Drosophila melanogaster: one gene and its partner. The protein of the gene in region 1 purifies or fractionates together with the protein of each later gene. This does not show direct contact. Each region holds a gene or a part of one and is shown in the gene's direction. Other genes may lie near its edges. The genes, in order: jub and sav.

Region 1 (12,899 bases):
CTTAAATATGATTCTTTGCGGCGGGTTTATTCCTTTGATGATAGGAGATTATTGTTGTTTTTGTGACCTTGAAGTGTATTCCAACTTCGGATCGTTTTAATCAGTCTCCTCATCTAGTTTGTTGTGTTTTGAGTGCGTGTTTTGATTTTGCCAGTATTTTTGCTATCTCCGCTAATCCCTCTCTCCTCCATTTCCGTCTCTTTCGTGCTGTTTTACACTGCAAAAAAAATATAAAAGAACAATTAAAATAAATAATATTAGCTATTATAATCTATATTTGAATTATTACCAAACATCCAAGTGATCTATTCAAATGATCTTGAATATCAGTTAGTTCGGATTAATAATTTCACAGTGAATCTAAGCTTATATGTAAATATTTTTCAGTGCCCTTCTTTTTTGTAAAACTTTGTTGTTCGCCCAATTTGTAGTCGCCAATCAATTCCGTGTGGTTGTTTTCTTGGAAGTCAATGTTTTAGTTCGTTTAATTTTATTTTTTTTATTATTTATTTGTGCCTCCAAAGATGATGCGCCTCTGCTGCAGTCGCAGTCGCAGTCTCAGTCGCTGTCGCTGTCGACGTCGGTAGATCTCGGCCTGGAATTCTCCGATCTTCGACGTTTTCCAATTTCATTCAGGCGACAACTCTCGAACAAGTTACTTCACAACACAACCTTGTCTACGATCCTCCGATTTCCCGGGTTTTCTCTGCATTTTCTGTACACTTTTTCATTTTTTTTTTTGCCATGAACTTCAATCGCATGGATACCGCCCATCGGTTGCGCGTCGATGTTCGACTTTATGGGGGATCGATGGGAAATCAGCTAAATGACAAAGGCACCGCCTCCTCCACGCCCACCATTTCATCGGACGATCTCAGTAGGTGTTTTGCACCACAATGGGATCTATAACTTAATAACTTTACCTGTTTAATTTGAATCCCTATAAATATGATTGTTTTCTAATTTCTTAGGTGATCTCGCCGATTCACCGGTGGATGAGAAGGCCGAAGCTGATGTGGAGGTGACCAACGAGATCTCGGCGCCCTATGAAGTGCCCCAATTTCCCATTGAACAGATCGAGAAGAAGCTGCAAATCCAGCGCCATCTCAATGAAAAGTGAGTGTTAGAAACCAATATACATATATCATAAAGATGCTCCCATAATGATTAAAATTAAATGGTAATTTAGCTTTGAGAGATTATACTTTTAAATTGTTGGATTTTGAGAAAGACCTGATTATTTTTCACTTATCAGCAAAACTTTAGTGATTTGCTATTGGAAACTGTAACATATTACAGTTTAATCAGTTATTAATAGGACTTACAACCTGTCTTACGTGCTACATTTAATAAAATATAATACGTTTTAGAGAAGCTCTACACTTTCAAAATGTAAGTTTCACACAATATATAGAAAAGCAAACTTTCATTTTTAAAATAACAAACGACAGTTGAAGTTTACTATGTACTTTTTGTTTGTAAATATATCTTCATAATTTACATAGATATATATATAGATTAAATTATATGTCTTCAAATCCCCATTATTCGGTTATAGTAATCAGATCCAAACCTAAATCGGTTCTGCTTCGCTTTAGATTTGTTTACTTTACATGCAAAGCAGACAAAAAACACGGCGAGTTCACAGATCTCGTGATTGAGTCCTTATCAGCTTTTCTATATTAAGGTTAGATTTTTTTCAAGGCTAAAATCTCTATTAAACAAACAAAGAAATTTTAAAGAGGACAAAAATAAAAACAAATCTTATCTGGGAAACATATGAAAATATGTTTTTACATCTCAAAATAAATGATAATATTTTCTTTGAATATTTTGTAATTCGAACATATCTTAGGATCTTACATCTCATAATAGATGGAAATATATTTTTTTTATATTTGAACATATTCTTAGGATTTGCACGCATTTCAGTCTGCTTGGCTCTCAATCATGAGCAGTTTCTATAGCCCCGTAATGAGGCAGCCACAAAATGTGTAGGCGTTGCAATTATCAGTCTGCCAGGTGGGCGGTGAATGTATGTATGTAGATTCCCGGGCGTAATCCAAAGTGGGTTTATGTCTGCCGCCAGAGTCCGGATCTCGGTTGCTGTTTGGATTTTCATTTTTGGCCGGGGAAAGTGTGGACCGATGCAGAACACGTTTTGATTTTGAATGGAAGTGCATTAGACAGACAGCCATGACGGAGGTGATGGACTTTCGCCCAAGCCGCCTAAAATCGAGCCGGTAGTGGTGGTTATGGTGGTGGTGCTAGGGCTTATGGCGTAATGAACCACCACCACCACCATCAGCACCGCCGCCAGGAGAACCACTGCAAGCGACGGTTGAGTTCTGGCGCGGATGCCGTCACTTTCAGTACGCTCCGATCCAATAAACGGGCAGCTCAACGTCGCGAAACGCGGCCCAAAGTTACCCACCTGGCACTACACTGTACTACACTACCTGTGCGACCTCCGCTGACATTGAGCCCGCCTAATAGGCAAAACCAGCCATCGAACTGCCATCTAGCCCATCTATAGCCACCCACTGTCCCACTAAAATTCACCAACCATTGTTGTTCGTGTCGCACGCCAGGCGTCGCTCAAAAAAAAAATAATAAAATAAAAAAAAAAGTGGCAAAGAAGCCAAGAAGCGGCGTTGGCAAAAACTTTCCAACTCGCACGGACACTTCAAGTTTTTTTTTTTTTTTTTTGGCATAAACTTAGAATTCCGACAGGTTTCGCACGCCAGTTAACAAAAGCAAAAGGGGAAATCCCCAAGTGACGGGTTTTTATATACATATATATACAAATGTTGCAGAAGACTTGACAATTTTGGAGTGGCATTATCTGCCAATCTAGTGATATTGCAACTAAGTCTTAGTTTTAAGTTCTAGAGAGTTGTTCTTAGAGTGTGTACCCTTTAAAGATTACACGCAGATATACTTTCTGAAGAGTTCAGTAATTATTTTTAAAGTAGCAGTTATCTTAGATATAAAGTTCAAGAGCTTATTCACCAGACAAAGGACAATCGAAGCATAGCAATTTAGCTTAGATACTGTGTTAAGGCACGCAATTTGTGGCAACTTTGAATTGGGTTTTTTTTTTTGGGTGTTGCAAGAGGTATCTTAAATAGCGTGCTGGATTGCAAATTAGCGACAATCGGTAGCTTTGCGTTGCCATAAATCAACTCACCAATCGATCATTACCCTATCTCCATCGCCATCAAAGTGAAGAGAGACCCGTGGCGAAGTGCTCCATTTGGCGGTGGTCACCAGTCCAGGCAGGATGTCCTTCGCGGATGATAGCTATAGCTTTGGTCGCTGCTACGAGTATCAGCCCGATGATTGCAAATGGTCAGCCTAGCAGGAGATCCCTTATATATTGCATATACGTAGTACCAAAGTTGTCAGTGACTAAATCCGTAACAGATTGTTGTAAGATCTAAAGAAATCTAAAGCGAGCTTTATGTCTCAAGGCTATTTTATCTCCTATTTACACTAGGAGGGTCAGTGATTAGTTAAATGCATTTGATTGTGTTTATTTAACCTTCATCATTTTGGTACTTGTCTCAATTATTTCAGGCAGGCTACAGGACCTAGACCAGTGGCCACAGCCGCCGTATTGGCCACAAACAGGGAATCATCCAGCAGCACCGAGGGCCGCGAGTCCGCCGTTACTATGGAGAGAAACGATGCGGACATTAACTTTCAACGGGTCTCAATTTCGGGTGAGGACACCAGTGGCGTACCGCTCGAGGATTTGGAGCGGGCCTCGACCCTGCTGATCGAGGCACTGCGCCTGCGTAGCCACTACATGGCCATGTCGGATCAATCGTTTCCCTCGACCACGGCTCGATTCCTCAAGACAGTGAAGCTCAAGGATCGCATCAACAATCTGCCCGTCAAGGAGGTGTCGGGTGAGTTCTTGTATTCCATCAATCCAATCCCGTATTCCCATAAGGAAGAGTGCAAAGCTATCTTCTGGTCTTCCCTTGTACAGTGGTATCTTCAACTTATGCATGGACTGGGTTGGTTTTGTGGTCTAAACTTAAACGCTACTTTGGTGTATTTAATTCGCTGTATTTTATAAAATCGACCCAGCCCATCGCAAATTTGTAAATATGTATGAAATAATGTGCAATAATGTACAATTGCCCCTAAGTGTTGTGATGCACCCAATTATGAATATTATTAATATATGGCAATTAATTCACTTGCGAGTGAATAATGTATAATACAAGTTCGTATTAGCGGGTGTTTTGTGTGAACTGTACTTGCCGGCGTTGCCAACTCATTTAATTGCAGAGGTTAGCTCGTGTGTCCGTCTCTTTCTCGCCTCCGCCTTAGCCGCCTCGCTCCGTTTCGTTTTCATGTCCTCCGTTTTTTTATTTAGAGCCTTTAACGAGCAACTGTGTACATACTGTGTATATGTTTGAGCCTTTTTAGCCCCCTTTTTTTATTTCAATTTGTTGATTTATTATCGACTATTTATTTCTCTTCTCGTATTTTTCATTATTTCTTATAGACATCATTCGCAAAATGAGTGTAGCGAACATACAAGGTAATTCGTGTGCACACCCGATTTTCCTGCCTTCCCGCTTTCCGCCTATCCAACTATTCCACCACGATCAACAAGAACAACTCCTCCTTCTGTTTTTCTGCCTGAAATTTGATTTCCGTTGAGCACTGCTTTATCTTGTTTTGTGTTCTTAATGGTTACTTCACGCTCCTAACCTCAAAATAGAGATAGAAACGCTGCTTTCAACGCATAGAGTGTGGCCAGCTTTTGGTTATTCAGTGTGATTGTAATTAAAAAACAAATACATATGTTTTCTGAATGTGTTAATGACCAAGCTTAAATCTATAATAATAATTTATGTTACCTGTTCCCCAGTTCGCATAATAGTTTATAAGATTAATTGCTGCATCCGATTTGTACAATCGTGCAAAGGTTACTAAATTGGCCGTCCTAACCTTCAGTTGTCTGCCTCTCCCGCTGCATTAAACACAATGCTGGCCACACTAATCTCTAGCTATTTCGCCCGCTATAAAAACTACACTTTGCAGAATTGAACTTTCTGTCAAACACTCGCATGTACATATGTATTCATTGACCGTTTATTTTTTCACTTCCACTGTGTTTCTGCATATGTTACTTGCGTGTTCTATATATTTGCCACCACAAAAGAACAACAACAACACGCCCCAGCTAAAATCATAAACGATATAAAAGCTTAAACTCTCACCGTTCCTCACTTACTTTTTGGTCCTTTGAAAGGGAAAAGCCTTGTACAAAAGGAAAGACTCAACTACTCCACTTTGAAAGCTTTTGTAGCGCACGAGTGGAACTCAGATGTATTTTCTAGTATCCTGTTGTCCTTTAAATTAATAGGGATTAATTTAAGATATCAAATCGTAATTTAATTTTGCTTCAAAAACTAAAAAGAAAATTCGAAGCTAGAATATTTAAAAAGGTGTACTGATACTGTACGGAGGTCCACTCTAAAGCACGTCGTACACACCAAATACTTACTGACAATAACACTCGCACAAACACCTGAGTGTAGAGTGTTGTCTTTGCCACTAACTGTACCAATTACCATTGCTGCTGCGATCGCCTTAAAAACTAAAACAATTTCTATTTTTGAATTTGAATTTAACACAAACACACACGTCTCAACTTGCTTCGAAACTGTTAAGAATCTGCAGATGTCCATTTGAGACATTCGCCAATGAAGATTACGAATCCGTGGAACGTCGAGTTTCCCAATGACGAAGATTTCAAGATTAAGCCCCTCAACGGAGTGTTTCACATTTACGAGAATGATGTAAGTATCTAGCTAATACATAAGAATACCACGAATCCTTACACACTCATGATAATATTCCAGGACGAAAGCAGTGAGATCAAATACGAATATCCAGATATGAGCCAATTCGTAAACGACATGCAGGTCATGTGCAATATGATTGCCGATGGGCCATTGTAAGTATATTTTCAGCAATGTATCAAATCGATTAAGATATAGAAATAATGTCCAATGCTCGACTTTAATAGGAAATCCTTCTGCTATCGACGTCTCTGTTATCTGTCGTCCAAGTATCAGATGCACGTGCTCCTCAACGAGCTGCGTGAGCTGGCTGCCCAGAAGGCGGTGCCGCATCGCGATTTCTACAACACCCGCAAGGTGGACACCCACATCCATGCCGCATCGTGCATGAACCAAAAGCATCTGCTGCGCTTCATTAAAAAGACGCTGAAGAACAACGCCAACGAGGTGGTCACCGTCACCAATGGCCAGCAAATGACACTGGCCCAGGTGTTCCAGTCGATGAACCTGACCACCTACGACCTGACCGTCGACATGTTGGACGTCCATGCCGATCGCAACACGTTCCATCGCTTCGACAAGTTTAACTCCAAGTACAATCCCATCGGGGAGTCGCGGCTCAGGGAAGTCTTCCTGAAGACGGACAACTATCTGAATGGCAAATACTTTGCACAGATCATAAAGGTGGTTATCAATTCACAACTGAATACGATTATAAACTAATTCTTCCGTTTTTCTTGCCAGGAAGTGGCCTTCGATCTGGAGGAGTCCAAGTACCAGAACGCCGAGCTGCGTCTCTCCATCTATGGCAAGTCGCCGGATGAGTGGTACAAACTGGCCAAGTGGGCCATCGACAATGATGTGTACAGCTCGAACATTCGCTGGCTGATCCAGATACCCCGTCTCTTCGACATCTTCAAGTCGAACAAGATGATGAAGTCATTCCAGGAGATCTTGAACAACATATTCCTGCCGCTCTTCGAGGCGACAGCCCGACCCAGTAAGCATCCCGAGTTGCATCGCTTTCTGCAGTACGTGATCGGATTCGATTCGGTGGACGATGAGTCCAAGCCGGAGAATCCGCTCTTCGACAACGATGTGCCACGTCCGGAGGAGTGGACCTACGAGGAGAATCCGCCCTATGCCTACTATATCTACTATATGTACGCCAACATGACGGTGCTGAACAAGTTTAGACAGTGCGTAGAAGTATATTGATATGTATATATATCATTGATTAACCCACTGTTACCTTTGATACATCAGATCTCGCAATATGAACACCTTTGTGCTGCGGCCCCATTGCGGCGAGGCTGGACCCGTGCAGCATCTGGTTTGCGGCTTCCTCATGGCCGAGAACATCTCCCACGGCCTCCTGTTGCGCAAAGTGCCCGTGCTGCAGTATCTGTATTATCTGACCCAGATTGGCATCGCCATGTCGCCGCTGTCGAACAACTCCCTGTTCCTCAACTATCATCGCAATCCGCTGCCAGAGTATTTGGCCCGTGGCCTCATCATTTCCCTCTCCACGGATGATCCCTTGCAATTCCACTTCACCAAGGTGGGCTAGACAATATATGCTTTAATATTCAGCATTAAATTAACCCATGTCCGCTTTTCAGGAACCCCTCATGGAGGAGTACAGCATTGCGGCACAGGTGTGGAAGCTCAGCTCATGCGACATGTGCGAGCTGGCCAGGAACAGTGTGATGATGAGCGGATTCCCACATGCCGTGAGTTCCAAGCATGCTTTCTGCTTTATGTTCGGACAAATGATTCCAATTCCGATTTCATCCACAGATCAAACAGCAGTGGCTGGGACCCATCTATTACGAGGACGGTATCATGGGCAACGACATCACGCGCACCAATGTGCCAGAGATCCGTGTGGCCTATCGCTATGAGACACTGCTGGACGAGCTGTCCAACATCTTCAAGGTGAACCAGACGTGCTCCATTGCAGACATGAACGCCACATAGTCTGGTCCATGCGGTACATCTGCTCCATCGCGTTGTTGTGGCTTCCTATGCTAACTTAATGCAAATTACGCAGATATATACGCTAGTTATATACATAATTTAAATGTTTCTGTACTAACCAAAATGTAAACGCGGCAGACCAAAACCTTTAAATATACAAAACTTGTACACGAAACTTCCATTCATTCAACTTTTATTTAAAAATAATCATAAGGTAAATAATATATAAATATAAATAATAATATATTTCGAGCTATGGGATCTAAAATTGTAGTTTTGGCTAACCTTTTGGGTTCAAAAGTAAAAATAGTGGATATAAGTTAAAAACTCAAGAAGAGTAATATTAAAATTTCAATGTTTGAAATTTAGACCTCAAATATTTCAAAATCCCGACTTTAAATGGATTAAAATTATTGCAAGCTAAAAAAATAACTAAGTGGAATTGTAATTAAATTTACAATTTTAAATAATAACGTTGCTAGATTAAAAAAAAAAAAACAATGTAATGCAATGCAATATGTATTTGATATTTTAGAGTGGCCCTTTTGAGCTGCAGTATATTTTGTGGTATATTCGCCTGCCTGCCGGACAGTATATTATAAACGTAACCCGCGGCGGTCACACTTAACTGTACGAATTTTTTGATATTCCAATGCAGGCGCACAAAGAAAATGCAGAAAAGCTGATAGAATAAAGGAAAAGCCGACTGACTGATTGCCAACTAGCCGAGCACAGTTAGCTAAGGTCTTTTCCGACCGGGAAAAGCGAGCCAATCGTTGATTTCGGGGCGGCGTCCCCCCCGCAGAGCGAGACAGCAAGTGTGGCGAGGGAGTAGGAGAGACGGAAGAAGAAGACGATAAGGAGGAGGAGCAGGATCTGGTGGATAAATATACATATATCAAAAGACAGAATGACCACCCAGCGGACGCAGACGCAGGCGAGGAATCCCGGCAACTCCGATTCCGACTATGAGACACTGATGCAGCGTCTTCACATCGGTGGGGGAGGTGGTGCTGGTGTTGGAGGAGGGGGCGGCAGTGGTGGCCCTGGAGACGGGGGCGTGGCCATGCGAAGCTACCAGCGCTCACCGGGCGCCATTGAGAACTACCTGCAGGAAAGTCAGCAGCAACAGCAGCAACATCAGATGCAGCAAATGCAGCAACTCCATCACAATCAGGACTATAAGCTGTACGAGCGCGGCAACATCATTGCCGCCTCCAAATACGCCACGCCCCGTCCGGTGGAGCAGATACAGCACACGCACAACGGAAGTGCACAAATCTATGCACCGACCGCACAGATTCTGGGCCAGCGGATTGCACCGCAGAAGCATTCGCCGGTATATGAGAACTTGGAGTTCTACGGTCAATTCGATTCAAACCACAAGAGGGCTCAGCCTCAAAGTCCCGGGAGCAGGCAGAGCGCCATATTGAACGGCTATCTGCTGATGCAGCCCATTCGGGCTGGGCGCTTTGCACACACGCCGGTGCCAGAGAATCAAGGATCTGCATCGTTGGGAACGACCAGAGCAGCAGGAGGACCACCACCACCATCGGGACGTTCTGCTGCTTTGGGTCCAACTGGCGATCTGGAGGAGCATGCTGCGCCCATATACGAGAACATCATTCCACACTCTGGCCAGCGGGCACAGCCACAGGCCTCGCCGGCCACCGCCACCATGTATCAGGAGATGCAGCCCACGTCCAACTCCTCAGGCAGTTCGTCCACCGCCGGTCTGGATCTCAATGCGCTGCTGGCCTCGCCCATGCACCAGCGAAGCATTAGCAGCAACACGGCCAGTTCTAGCTCCTTGGGATCGCCAACGCAACGATATAGGAATCTATCGTTACCTAGCCACCTAAGTCCCGTACCCACCGCGCAGTCGGTGGCCAAACTGCAGCAGCACACGCCCGTTAAGTCGCCCGGCGGCGCCATTAATGTCTCCGTTAATCCTAACTATATAGAGGACATCAATAGCTCTGACTACGTTTGCATGACGGCGAATCTGCACAGGAATACGGCAGCAGGATTGGCTACCGGCAGGGCGGCTGCAACGGGAGCCCCTGCCCAGCGAACTGTCCAGGAACCACCAATAATAACGTCATCACTGGCCATGGGCATGGCCACGGCAGCTCCACCAACCACATCCAATGCACCGACATCAGCAGCAGCGGCACCAGCAGCACCAACATCCACCGCTTCCTTGCGGGCGACGCCCATTGCGATGACGGCTCCTCTGGCGGTGGCCACATCACCCACTCCCTCGCAGGGCAGCACAGGTAAGCGACTGACGATCGTCTGTCCCCAAAATGGCGAATTACTTTAAGTGATGGAATAGATACTGCATCGCTTAGGTGGAGTACATGCTATATATAGTAAAGTGAACAAAAATTCTATCGATCCATTTAAAGATGCATGGTTACTTTACTAAACTAAAGCTATCATTTAAATATGGAATAATAATAAAAAGCACCTTCAACGTACTTTTTATTATACATAAACATGTATTTCGCCTAGCATGCAACATATTATAATATTTCAGTATCTATGTATGCATACTTTTGCCTACATGGATACATTCCATCACTAAACAACCATCAATTCGAGATTGTATTAATCAAACTAATGAATCCAAATGCTTCCCCCATCAAAAATGCTTGCACGCAGCCGTTAATGCTGCCTTGAAACCCAGGAGAGGTATGACGGGCTGAGCTTGGTTTCTCCAAAGGGGTTGGGTTCCGTTCGTGTCATCACTCATCGCTCAATCATAAACCGGTTGGCGGGGCGACAAACTTTGGTCAAACGGTTGCCGCTAACCGGTTTAATTTTAAGTCCTTTACCTGAACCGATTCAATGACAACCGAAACCGATTCGAATGCAATATCGTTCATTTTCATTTCACCATGATTGAAATTGCGATTTTATCGTTTAAACAAACAAATTTTTTATGTTTTGTCGATGGGAATTATAATTAGAAAAATATTATTATAATTTGATTTCATTTTTCATTCAAGAATTTGGCTTACACCGCGAATTTTTCAGCTTTTTTCCTGATTTATTTATTTCAATTATTTTCGTTTGTCCCAACAATGCGCCCGCATATTTATTTTTGTTTTTTCCTAACTAAGCTGACTAATCTTCACTTGGCCTTGCAAGCCAAGTCAATAGCATGACCTAATATCTACTCTGTACCGCCATCAGGTCTCACCAAGAATCTGCTACCGTATAGCGTCACCCCGCCGCGTCCGGCTGGCCCGACGGAGGCGCAGCGCAAGATCGAAGAGCTCACACGCCAGCTGGAGGAGGAGATCGAACAGAGCGAGGAGCACGGCGAATACTTTGGTGTGTATTTATTGTTAGCACTTAACCATAATATCTCTGACTCACAATAATATCGGTTACAATCACTAGGCATTTGTCACACATGCGGCGAGAAGGTGAAGGGTGCCGGGCAGGCTTGCCAGGCGATGGGCAATCTGTATCACACCAACTGCTTCATCTGCTGCTCCTGCGGACGGGCGCTGCGAGGCAAGGCGTTCTACAATGTGCATGGTCGGGTCTATTGCGAGGAGGATTACATGGTGAGAAGATAGTTGTAGTTGTAGTTTAGTCAGGACTGAAAAATATTGATATTCCCCGTAAAAACTCCTTTTCATTTTGAGAAAACACTTTCCCAACTGTATTGTGTTGTTTGAATTTTATTATATTTATGATTATAAATCGTTATTTTTGGTTACTGACGCAATTACCTTTTCATTTGCTTTGTTATGATTTCAACGCCATTAATTAATAATAATAAGAATTCACTCTTGCAGTACTCGGGCTTCCAGCAGACGGCGGAAAAGTGCGCCATCTGTGGCCATCTGATCATGGAAATGGTTCGTACTGCACCCCATTCGTTTCTATCCCACTCTAATTGGGCAACTTGTACTCACATTGACGTCGCTCTCGCTCTTTCCCTCTTGCAGATCTTGCAGGCCATGGGCAAGTCGTATCATCCGGGCTGCTTCCGGTGCTGTGTGTGCAATGAGTGCTTAGACGGGGTGCCCTTCACCGTGGACGTGGACCACAAGATCTACTGCGTCAACGACTACCATCGAATGTTTGCGCCCAAGTGCGCTAGCTGCGGCAAAGGTGGGTTCACAACTTCATTCCGAATAATACGTCAATGCTAATCTCGCAATCGTCGGCAATTCTCGGCAGGCATCACACCCGTCGAGGGCACCGACGAAACTGTGCGCGTCGTCTCGATGGACAAGGACTTCCACGTGGACTGCTACATCTGCGAGGAGTGCGGCATGCAGCTGACCGATGAGCCGGACAAACGCTGTTACCCGCTGGACGGGCGCCTGCTCTGCCGCGGTTGCCACCTGCAACGTCTGGCGCTGCAATCCTCGCCACACGCTCGTCATCAGGAGCCCGTCTGCGCTTCGTACCAGTATATGGGATAAGCGGAACGGAGTGTGGCTGGGAGAGGCGGCGCGGCGCAGACCGACCTTCCGACCTTCGACTGAGTGGCGCACAAAACCAGAACAAACTATCGCAATCAACTTATTCCAATTAACAATATTATCTTAAATAGACAGAAGTGAAAACAAATGCATTTATACGAAACGAGGGCCAAGCTAATGGCTTTTTTTTTTCTTCATTTTTATGGCAGTGTACTAGGATCTCGAAACGGATCTGTTAGAAACTATGTAATGGATTCCTAAAATCTCCGACAGTTGGCAGCCATTGTTGGCAATACTATTTTGATACAAGTATATTGATGTGTTCTTCATATGTATGTCCTGGGGTGTTCCTGAGACCTCTTGAGGTTTCAATGCAATAGCAAACGGTGTCTCAAATTATGCAATAAAATACTTAATACTTCTTATCTGAAAGTCTTTTGTGGATATTCCAGTGGGTTAGTGGCTTGTTGTGATACATACCATACATTCGGTTATTAAGTAGCGAAAATGCAAAATTTTAATTGTTTGCCTAAACCGTGAGTAATTAACATATACGTGTGACATTTTGAATTTTGTTTAGTTTTCTTATAACACATACATACAAAATATTTTCTTTTAAATTTTTCGAATGCTTAATGCT
Region 2 (11,772 bases), on another chromosome or scaffold:
AATAAATAATGCATAAGCAGGCGAGTTTGAAGTAATTAGCACAACGATGATGCTGGCGGCCAACTGACCCACATCGGGAAATCGCTCTAATTCATATTTGTTGTCGAGTGGGCCAGGATAACAGGATAACAGGATACTGCTGGCTCATTTGCATTTGCATATATGCAAATAGTTCGATCTGCAGGCGATTGAGTGACCGAAAGTGTTGGACTGTGCCAAATACATAACCAGCTAACGGGCAAAAAGCCACTGAATAAATGGCCCTTGTTACTCGGTTCGTGTAATGCGTCTACGAGTTTAGCCCGTGTTCTGACCGAGAATCAATTAAAATTTATTGCACGAGCATGCCAAACAATTCGCGGTTGCAGCCACAAAAACGCATCTGAAAAACAATGCCACCACTCCAATCACTTGTGACCGCCCCCCGGCTATGCAAATTAGCCATTGCAGCGATTTTGCTAATTCTCCAGCTAAACGCTAGTGGTGAGTTCTCAGTTGGCTAATATATATATATGTATATATATGAAATATGAAAAATCGGAAAACCCCTTTGCAAACATTGCTCCGCGCTTAGCTCATGATGATGCCAATTCCGAGAGCGTTTTGAAGATGCACTCGCCATTTGCATTCAAAAGCCAAGCGAATAAATGGAGAAGCAAAACCAAAACTGCATAGATCAATTTACAAGTCGGCAAAGGGGTTTACTCGCTGCATGTGCATGTCAGCTGCTATTATAGATTTATTTATTGGCAAACACCCTGAGAACGAGTTTCATTGGGGGGCCTAAGTGGGAGAATGACCTACACAGGAAAGTGCTCTTAACTAAGCAACTAACTTCTGGAAAAGCGGAAGTGGAGAGATTAAGTACTATCTTATAGATATGCCAGAATATCAAAAAAGTATCTACCAGATACCTTGAAAGATCTCTGCATATCTCAATTGCAATTCATGATAAGTTTGTTAAGTTACGTTTTTTAATTTCCAATTCAACCTTTCAATTAGTTAATAACGCCAATCTCAGACATTCCTAAACCCCCTCCCTACTTAAGGGTAAATCCCGATGATGCTTGATTGATTTTCTCATTGCTCAGCTATGCATAAAAATATCATATTAATTGATGAGCACGAGCTTAGCTACCAGAATTGAAATCCATATGACTGCTCGGCAATTTGAAAAATGCGTTGGTTCCCAGTCATGCGCATCCCGTTGGATTGAAACCCACATTCATGGCATTCCGTTCTGCCCCCCAGTTGCGCTGCTGCTCAAGTGTCCGTTGCACCAGTTGCAGCTGCAGAAGATCGTCGGATTCCGGCCACCGCTGGAGTATCTGAATGCGGATAATCGGATCTACGGACCGGAAATGGTGAGCAACTTCAAGACTCGCAACGGCCAACAGGAACTTCCGGTCAGCCAGGTGTGCTGGCGCATCTGCAACGAGGATCCCGATTGCATTGCCTATGTCCATCTGCTGGACACGGACGAGTGCCATGGCTACTCGTACTTCGAGCGAACCTCGCGCTATCTGGCCATTTCGGGTGAACTGCCTCTGGTGGCAGACGGCGAGGCCGTCTTCTACGAAAAGACCTGCCTCCGAGGTGAGTAATTCTCCAGCCAAACCTCCGGAAGTGGCCGTGATCCGCCTCTAATCCATTCCGACCTTGCAGTTCCCGATGCGTGCCGTGGGCGTCTCTGGGCACTGACCAAAATCCCCGGCAGCACGCTGGTCTACCACAGCAAGAAGACCATTTCGACGCTGGTCACGCGGCGTGAGTGCGCCGAGCGCTGCTTCTTCGAAACCCAGTTCCGATGCCTCTCCGCCTCCTTTGCGCCCTCCTATCGGAACAATCGTGAGCGGTAATTGACTATTTGTTGTTTGTTGTTTGCTATTTGGTTGTTTGTTGTTGTCGGTTGTCAGTGGGTGGTTGTTGTAGTTGCTGGTCGCCGGACAAATGAATAGCTTTTGTTGTGCATTTTTAATGCATGGTCGAGACTTTTCGCCGGATTATGACATCACTCCGAGGATGGTGATGGGATAGGTTAGGACTATTCAACAATGTGTAGCAAGCTAATAATATGATAATATGATATTATAATACGAAAGAAAGATATATCCAGAAGACATCATCTTTTCGAAGCTATGTTCTTTTCCAAACAAATTTTTACAAAATAAGATAAGTATTTTTGAAAAGTGAGATCATCAGCAATCATCTAGATTTTCTTAAACTCAAGTATATATCGAATTCTTCTGAAATAACCGAACTGACTTGGTCATAATCGACACATCATCGTTTAGAAGTTAATAAAGCAACCTTTAACCCTCCTCTTTCGTAGCTTCCGCGGCGAGGCGGGTCCTGGCCAGCGTCCGTCTCCCCGCCTCGGCAGATGTATGCTGAGCGACAGGGACAAGACCGTCCAGCCGGACGCCTTTCGCGCGGCTCCATACGACGAGGAGTACATGGAGAACCAGTGCCACGAACGGGCCATCGAAAGTGACAACTGTTCCTACGAGCTGTACGCCAACAGCAGTTTCATCTATGCGGAGGCCAGGTATTTGGGCCTCTCCCAAAAAGAGGTGTGTCCGCCGCGCTTCGGATGTCGCGCATTATGATTGTAATCGAAATGGATGGGGGGTCGGATGATTGATTGATGGCTTCTACCTCCGTATTGCAGTGTCAGGCGATGTGCTCCCACGAGGCGAAGTTCTACTGCCAGGGTGTCTCCTTCTACTATGTAAACCAACTCTCGCTGTCCGAGTGTCTCCTCCACTCGGAGGACATTGTATCCCTGGGTCCGCGAAGCCTGAAGCTCCGTGAAAACTCGGTGTACATGCGGAGGGTCAAGTGCCTGGATGGTAAGATCTTCTGGGGATGTGGTATGCTCAATCTTAATCGATTCCTTATTCCGCAGTCCGGGTTTTTTGCACCCGCGATGAGATGACCATTAAGTACAATCCCAAGGACTGGTTCGTCGGCAAGATCTATGCCAGCATGCACTCCAAGGACTGCCTGGCCAGAGGATCGGGCAATGGGAGTGTTCTGCTGACGCTCCAGATCGGCAGCGAGGTAAAGGAGAACCGCTGTGGCATCCTGCGTGCCTACGAAATGACACAGGAATACCAAAGGTAAGATGAAGTCCAATGTCCAGTCCATTTTTTTAATTATATCATTTGCATTATTTAGAACGTTCATATCTGCTCTGGTGGTCATCCAAAACAATCCAAATGTGCAAACCCAGGGCGACCGGCTCATCAAGGTTGGCTGTATACAGAGCAATGCCACCACATCGCTGGGCGTTTCGGTTCGGGACAGCAGTGTGGATAGCTCAGAGCCTGTGCCCAGCGCCATTGCACTGGAGTCCTCATTGGAGTACACAGAACAGTGAGTGTATTCTTAATAGAATCCCTCAAAATGCTTAATTCTATCACAATCGATACCTGCAGCATGTTCCCACACGAGGGTGTGGTTCACTACAACAGCAGCACTGGGCCCCATCCGCATCCCAGCATCTCGCTTCAGATTTTGGATCTATCCCACCAGCACGAGACCAACGACGTGCAGATTGGACAGAACCTGGAACTACAGATTGTGGCGGAGTACAGCCCACAGCAGTTGGCAGAGCACATGGAGTTGCAGCTGGCACCACTACCCGACTTTCGTGCTACCTCGCTGGTGGCCAAGACAGCGGACAATGAGAACTTTGTGCTGCTGATCGACGAGCGAGGATGTCCCACAGATGCCAGTGTGTTTCCCGCTTTGGAAAGGGTACACACAGCCAGCAGGAGCATGTTGCGCGCTCGCTTCCATGCCTTCAAGTTCTCAGGAACGGCCAACGTAAGCTTCGATGTAAAGATTCGCTTCTGCGTGGAGCGCTGCTCGCCCAGCAATTGTATTAGTTCATCCTGGCAACGGAGAAGGCGACAGGCTGACCAACCAGATCGTAGACCGGAAGACCTACGAGTTCAGAACCCCGTGTACATCTCCACGGTGGTGGATGTGGCTCCGCAACCAGACAACTTTACCAGATCGCAGGAGGAATTGCCCCTCAACTACAATATCCGGGTGCACGGTCCGGACCAGAGCAACACCAATAGTTATCTGTACGGCGAGCGGGGAGTGCTGCTCATTGCTGGCATAGACGACCCGCTGCACCTGGATAACGTTTGCATCAACCAGAGCCTGCTGATTGCACTGTTCATCTTCTGGCTGATCTGTCAAGTTGCCCTGCTCTTCGGCTGTGGAATGGTGCTGCAGCGCTACCGCCGGCTGGCCAAGCTCGAGGATGAGCGACGCAGGCTGCACGAGGAGTACCTGGAGGCGAGGAGAGTCCACTGGGCGGATCAAGGCGGATACACACTCTAATTGACGGCTGGAACGCAATGCGTATAAAATGCATCTTAATTTAATAAACATAAATCTAACATAAATCTAACAAATGTTTGCAACCGAGGATAAGTTCAGGAGTTCTTCTTGGGATGGTAGTGCTCCCACTTGCGATGGTTTAGCGAATTGAAATCCGGGCAGTGGTGAGCGATTTTGCGCAAATAGTCGGACAACTTGAGCAGCTCGGTGTCCGTGCCACGGTTGAGATGAGCCTGACGGAATGGGCGGATCTTTAGGCCGGACTTTGGGTTCATAAGGAAGTTGCGACGGATGTCATCAAACATGATAGTGTTGCTCGAGTTGTATTGCTTGTACAGGGCCCAGATTACACCAAGCGGCTTTACGTCCACCACACCGCGCTCCGGCACATGAACTGATATCATGGCGGTGGAGTCCAGATAGAACATCACCTTGTAGTTATCGTTACTGGCCACGCCCAGCAGGCGCATCTTTTCCTCGATCCAGCGCATGCTGGTGGCGGACCAGATGACAATGTCGTAGTCCTCGTAGGCGGAAGTCAGAAACTCGTGCAGATACGGACGCATTAGCTCCGTGCCTGTTTCAGCAGGCGATCGGTGATCGAATAGGGTATAGTCTATGTCCAGGACAAGCAGCTTCTTGCCCTCACGCGGCGGCGCTAACTCCTTGATCTTGTAGTCTCGCACACGACGCTGCACCTTGGCCAAATAGACGGCGGAGTGCTCCACGGACTCTTCGCGTTCATCGGCGTCATCGAAGTCGTCGACCACTTCGCCAATATTATCGGGCAGGCTGCACGCATCCTCGATATCGGCCTCTGTGGAGCCCACCATCATAAGCTTAAAGTTGGGCTTCAGCTCCAAAGCGCTGATCTTCACATTGTCGGCTGCTGTCTTTCCTGCAAGTCATTGGATCTTAAAACTGAAATATCCCGAAGCCTAGGAGTGTCACGCACCTTTGTACTTCAGGTTGAGCAGCTTTTGACGTTCCGGACGCACCTGTGTCTTGCGGAATATCTCGTGACGCAGCACTTCCACGGTGTCCTGGTCGGTGAGGTCCACCGGGTACTCCTTACCACTCCATTTTACAATCACTACCACTTCTTTGACCTCCATCTTAGCTGGTTTCTATTCCGCTATTAATTTATCACACCATATATGGTAATGTATGTTTGTTGGATAGAATCCAGCAAGTGGTTTGCAATAGTGTACCTTAAAGATATTAACTAATTTATTAGAAGACCATATAAACAGTCGAGTTGTCAGAAGTCGATAGATACTATCGATTGCAACGCCCGGCGTTATCGATTGCAATCGGCTTGCAATAAAAATAATGATTTTTTGATTATATTTTTCAGAGATTATTAAAAAATATTTTAAATTTTTTAAAATTATATATTTAGCAATTAAAGAAAGTCATGCAAAGACATGAGGAATGTCCCCAAGTTGCCAATAGGCGATTGTTTCGCCAGTTCATTGGCCACACTGGTCACCAGCTGAAAACACAAAAACCGATCGTACAGCATAAATTTAGCTCGAAAATGGACTAAACAAAGACAGCGATCCGGAATCCGAGCGGAAACATAGTCTGCATGAACTATCTAACGATCCTGCTGTGCAACCGAAAACCGACGATGCTCTCGCGCCGGAACAAGGAGAAGTCCCAGCACAAGGAGGGCGTGGTGGGGAAGTACATGAAGAAGGACACCCCACCGGATATTTCGGTGATCAATGTGTGGAGCGATCAGCGGGCCAAGAAGAAATCGCTGCAGCGCTGTGCGAGCACCTCGCCCAGCTGCGAGTTCCATCCGCGCAGCTCGAGCACCAGTCGGAACACCTACTCCTGCACGGACTCGCAGCCGGACTACTACCATGCTCGACGAGCACAGAGCCAGATGCCCCTGCAGCAGCACTCCCACTCGCATCCTCACTCTCTGCCCCACCCCTCCCATCCGCATGTGCGTAGTCATCCTCCCCTGCCGCCCCACCAGTTCCGCGCCAGCAGCAATCAGTTGAGTCAGAACAGCAGCAACTACGTTAATTTCGAGCAGATCGAGCGGATGCGCCGTCAGCAGTCGTCGCCACTGCTGCAGACCACATCATCGCCGGCGCCGGGAGCCGGAGGATTCCAGCGCAGCTACTCCACCACCCAGCGGCAGCATCATCCCCATCTGGGTGGTGACAGCTACGATGCAGATCAGGGCCTGCTAAGCGCCTCCTATGCCAACATGTTGCAACTGCCCCAGCGGCCACACTCGCCCGCTCACTACGCCGTCCCGCCGCAGCAGCAGCAGCATCCACAGATTCATCAACAGCACGCCTCGACGCCGTTTGGCTCCACGCTGCGGTTCGATCGAGCTGCCATGTCCATCAGGGAGCGACAGCCCAGGTATCAGCCAACTAGGTAAACTGCCTCTTGAAGTACTATATTTGAATAGATAGCGCGCGATTGATAAAGTGGGTAGAGATAATATGAGCAGCTCTTGATTAAAGGAATAATCCGTAAAAACTACATATTGTCAAAAAGTGCTTAATATTATTATAACTTTTAAACAATGACAATGCACGAAATGTTTTATTTTCGAAACATTTATTGTTCAAAGATTTTTTATTTGATAACAGATTGCTTTATTTATTTACAATAAGAAAAGTTGATGTACAAAACCGGTTTCTACTCGCCTTACAATAATTAAAACAATAACACAATATATGATTTTCTGTACGAGGAATATAATGGAATATATATGATATATACAACATTTTTAAACACATTTTCTCTTCTGTTTCCACAGCTCTCCGATGCAGCAGCAACAACAACAACAACAACAGCAGCAGCAGCAGCTGCAGCACACACAACTGGCAGCTCACCTGGGCGGCAGCTACTCCAGCGATTCGTACCCGATCTACGAGAATCCGTCCCGCGTCATCTCGATGCGCGCCACGCAGTCGCAGCGATCGGAGTCGCCCATCTACAGCAATACGACGGCCTCGTCGGCCACGCTGGCCGTGGTTCCGCAGCATCATCATCAGGGTCACCTGGCGGTGCCATCTGGAAGCGGGGGAGGATCCCTGAGCGGCAGCGGTCGTGGTGGCAGTTCTGGCAGTGTTCGCGGCGCCTCTACCTCAGTGCAATCACTGTACGTCCCACCGCGAACTCCGCCCAGTGCGGTTGCCGGAGCGGGAGGCAGTGCCAATGGGTCGCTGCAGAAGGTACCATCACAGCAATCGCTCACGGAGCCCGAGGAGCTGCCTCTGCCGCCCGGCTGGGCCACTCAGTACACGCTACACGGTCGGAAATACTATATTGATCACAATGCGCATACCACGCACTGGAATCATCCGTTGGAGCGCGAAGGTCTGCCGGTGGGCTGGCGGCGGGTGGTGTCCAAGATGCATGGCACCTACTATGAGAACCAGTATACCGGGCAGAGCCAACGTCAGCATCCATGCTTGACCTCCTACTATGTCTACACGACGTCTGCGGAGCCACCGAAAGCGATTCGACCAGAGGCGTCGCTCTATGCCCCACCCACGCACACTCACAATGCACTGGTGCCGGCCAATCCCTATCTGCTCGAGGAGATCCCCAAGTGGTTGGCCGTCTACTCGGAGGCGGACTCGTCCAAGGACCACCTGCTGCAGTTCAACATGTTTAGCCTGCCGGAGCTGGAGGGCTTCGACAGCATGCTGGTGCGGCTCTTCAAGCAGGAACTGGGCACCATCGTGGGCTTCTACGAGCGCTACCGGTAAGTGAGCGGCCACATGCCGCTGCATTCTCCGCTCTCCGAAAAGCCACTACTCTCTTGTTACACCTTTCAGTCGCGCTTTGATACTCGAGAAGAATCGACGCGCCGGCCAGAACCAGAACCAAAACCAGTGACCCGGTGACCAGGTGACGACTGACTCAGACCACATACTCGCCAGCAGCTATATGCACATCATAGTGCTCCTGTAATCGACCTTTAACTTATTTAACCATCGACTCATCGCGAAATCAGTGCCTTATACGAAACCAGACGAGATGGTAGCCAAGCAGATCCATGACAGTTCGAATGCCTTGATGAAACGTAGAATTGTGCTACGTTCTATATAACCTTAATGTGATTTGAGCTTGGCGTTTGTTTGTAATGTGAGCAAAGAAAATTAAACTGGTTTACTGATCATCTTACCTGCCGAGCGCAATTGTAATCGATGTGCCACCTGAAACCCCACAGGTATTTAACCTGGGAGTCCGATTCATCGACGGATGTTTTGGAAATTCAGCGCCGCGAAGTGTAAATAAAGGGCAACAGTTGGTGGCCAAGTCTTACTCGACTTGGCTTGGCACATATTTCCGAGTTCCATGCCAAGTTTTCGATTCGCTTGCAAAAATTATGCATTGGGCACAAGTGAATCGTGGCCGATTCTGTATTGGCAAAAAAAAAAACAGCGCTCCAATAGAAAGTGAATCTTATGTTTGTTTTCGTTTGGCTATGCTTATTTTTAGTCGAACCTGATAATTCATTCAGTCGCCTCTTATCGAATGCTTATAAAACTTTATAGTCACTGTTTCTGCAGGTCCCTCAAAAACAGTTTCTACTGCTGATAAGAAGTTTTCGAAGTCTGGGGAGTATTCGGCATTGGAAAGGCCAAAAGTTGTGTTTTATTATATTTTGAACATATTAAACAGGATACATAAAACGAGAGTTTTAGATTGTAATTACATTTGTCATATCTTTTGCTAAATTGATAAGTAAACAGAAAATATGACTCGATGGATATTATTGACTAATAATATATATTTAGGGGTTTGGTATGATTACTTTGTACTGTGAGATACAAGTTCGTTTGTCCCACAGATACTTTTCAATTCATAGCTTATCCTACAGATACATTTCAATTCATAGCTTATCCCGTAGATACATTTCCATTCATTGCTTATCCCACAGATACATTTTAGCATATTTTTTTTGAAATTTGAATTTGAAAAAAAAGTGTTTTTTTTTTTTTTGTTTTGAGAACTACTCGTCTTGTCAAAATATTTAACTGTTCCCGACTGAAGTGCCCACCTTTTCGGCCGCCGGGTTCTCAAGTGCAAAAATAATGTATAATAAAAAGCCAAGATACGTCGGCGGTCCGCTCTCGCCCCACTTGTTGTTGCTGCTGCCGCTGGTGCGTCGCTGCCGCTGCCGCAGTCGACGTCGACTCCATCGCTCCAATATTTAAACGGATCCATTGGATCGCGCACTCAGTCGCACTGGAGAGTCGCCATCGCAGCCATCATCATAGCATTCCATTCCACTTGTAGCCATCGGCAGTCGCTCAATCGTCAGTTGGGACACATTATTTAACTTCATTCTTAACGTGAGTGAATTGATGTGTTGGGTGGCGATCATGCATATAGCATAGGCAAACAACTGTTCTAATCCGCATTATCTTAATCACAATAATCCGGCGGCTTATACAGATGTTTTGCGTTAGCAGTTGGCGGCTAAAAGCCTCTGCTTGCCCACATGCCAGTGAAAGTTCTAATCCGGCTCAAACAGACGCACAACAAGCGTATCTCGTGCGTGGAATCATGAATGAATAAATGGGTGTTACTGTTAACTAACAATGGACCTTTTTACCAATCAATCGTCTTATCTATCACCAGAATTGAAACAGAATTAGTGAATAACTTATGGTGCATATCAGTTGAAACATGAAGATTCGTGTGAACGATCGTGAAAGATATGGTGTTCGAACTTTAAATTACCCTTGTAGTTTACCACTCTCATTAGTTTTGATTTATGTAGAACCAAAATTTGGATCGTGACTTGCGATTAGTATTGCAATCGCAGTGCATTGCCCAATCTATTGATTATCTGCAACTTGTGGCAGACTGCCGCAATAATTCGACGGACACTATCAGCTAGCTCCATTGATTGAGATAAGCCCGTTCTCACGCGGTGTTTTACACTTCTTGGCAATCGCCAAGTCACGGCCCTCGCCATATAAAAAATATAGTATGAACAATCGGGAATCTTTTGGTTTTACGATCGACCGACAAAGCCCATGTATTTCCTGTTACGTCCATTTGGGCCATATAGGCACATAAAATGGGTGCTCCAACGCTTGCCGTGGGAAAGTGTGCTCCAATTGCAAAGTTGTAACATTGAGCGACATTTGATGAAGGTTACCGACTTTTATCTCGACAAAAACACACACGAATTCCAGATGAAGCGAGCGTGCGTAGTTTGCACTGCAAGTTTTTTTTTTGGAACAAATAGTTTTATGTTTATATCATTTTATATCATATTATATTCCTTATTGATTGAGTGTCTGCACGGGTCATTAAATTAAGAAGCAAAAAAAAAAAAGGTGTCAGGAATTGCATTCCATACTCCTACGAGTAGATATCAATTTCACCCGATCGTGGTCAATTGGTCAATTGAAGTAATTCACAATTGAATCAATACAATACCATATAGGGCTTCATTGAAGAAGATGCCAGCAGGACTGGATGCTCATGCATGAATAAGTTGAACGTTGAACGCAAGCAGAATGGATTTCAGCACACACCGCCTGACCACTTTGCTGCTCCTCCTCCTGGCCACAGGTGAGATATCGCAATCCAGATATTGCGATCTAATAATGAGGGAATTTCTCCTGCCCACAGTTGCCCTGGGAAATGCCCAAAGCAGTCAGCTCACCGTCGATTCCCATGACATCACCGTTCTGCTGAACAGCAACGAGACTTTTCTGGTGTTCGCCAAGTGAGTTGCCATTGCCGGGAAATCCAAATCCAAAACATATGGCATCGTAAATCTATTGTGCCCATTACAGCGGATTGCTAGACAGCGACGTGGAAGTTGCGCTGGGAACAGATTCGGAGGATCATTTGCTCCTCGATCCCGCAACGTTTGTGTATCCAGCGGGCAGTACTCGAAATCAGTCGGTGGTGATAACTGGCCTCAAAGCCGGCAACGTCAAAGTGGTCGCAGATAGCGATGATGCGAACAAAGAGATGTGAGTAACTTCACGGGAATCCCAACTGTTCCCGTACCTAATTGGAAAATTCACTTATTTTCCAGTGTGAAGGATGTGTTCGTACGCGTGACTGTGGCCAAATCGAGAGCTTTGATCTACACCTCCATCATCTTTGGCTGGGTTTACTTTGTGGCCTGGTCGGTGTCCTTCTATCCGCAGATCTGGAGCAACTATCGCCGCAAGTCCGTCGAGGGACTGAACTTTGATTTCCTGGCCCTCAATATCGTGGGCTTCACCCTGTACAGCATGTTCAACTGCGGCCTCTATTTCATCGAGGATCTGCAGAACGAGTACGAGGTGCGATATCCGCTGGGAGTGAATCCTGTGATGCTCAACGACGTGGTCTTCTCACTGCATGCCATGTTCGCCACCTGCATTACGATCCTTCAGTGCTTTTTCTATCAGG

Evidence for each region.
Region 2: the proteins of jub (region 1) and sav purify together in Drosophila melanogaster (affinity purification with western blotting; 2 studies listed by BioGRID). This does not show direct contact.

What each region holds. Positions count from the first base shown.
Region 1 is NC_004354.4:13,825,830-13,838,728, reverse strand, and holds jub (ajuba LIM protein), read left to right. Parts: upstream 1-8,411; 5' UTR 8,412-8,718; coding exon 8,719-10,087; intron 10,088-10,475; coding exon 10,476-10,505; intron 10,506-11,009; coding exon 11,010-11,150; intron 11,151-11,219; coding exon 11,220-11,389; intron 11,390-11,608; coding exon of another isoform or gene 11,609-11,623; coding exon 11,624-11,686; intron 11,687-11,776; coding exon 11,777-11,942; intron 11,943-12,011; coding exon 12,012-12,259; 3' UTR 12,260-12,399; downstream 12,400-12,899. Other genes in the region: AMPdeam (AMP deaminase), read left to right, coding at 972-1,116, 3,580-3,914, 5,707-5,825, 5,889-5,983, 6,056-6,512, 6,573-7,027, 7,095-7,389, 7,451-7,561 and 1 more. UniProt on the Drosophila melanogaster protein: Regulates organ size by inhibiting apoptosis and promoting cell proliferation by influencing the expression of G1/S-specific cyclin-E (CycE) and apoptosis 1 inhibitor (th). Negatively regulates the Hippo signaling pathway.
Region 2 is NT_033777.3:23,055,362-23,067,133, reverse strand, and holds sav (salvador), read left to right. Parts: upstream 1-5,829; 5' UTR 5,830-5,950; coding exon 5,951-6,762; intron 6,763-7,150; coding exon 7,151-8,104; intron 8,105-8,175; exon of another isoform or gene 8,176-8,177; coding exon 8,178-8,238; 3' UTR 8,239-8,525; downstream 8,526-11,772. Other genes in the region: CG17111 (uncharacterized protein), read left to right, coding at 393-483, 1,252-1,596, 1,666-1,855, 2,333-2,573, 2,672-2,852, 2,909-3,122, 3,181-3,378, 3,441-4,359; Ublcp1 (Ubiquitin-like domain-containing C-terminal domain phosphatase 1), read right to left, coding at 4,455-5,257, 5,315-5,474; Ctns (cystinosin), read left to right, coding at 10,881-10,935, 10,996-11,092, 11,163-11,345, 11,411-11,771. UniProt on the Drosophila melanogaster protein: Plays a key role in the Hippo/SWH (Sav/Wts/Hpo) signaling pathway, a signaling pathway that plays a pivotal role in organ size control and tumor suppression by restricting proliferation and promoting apoptosis.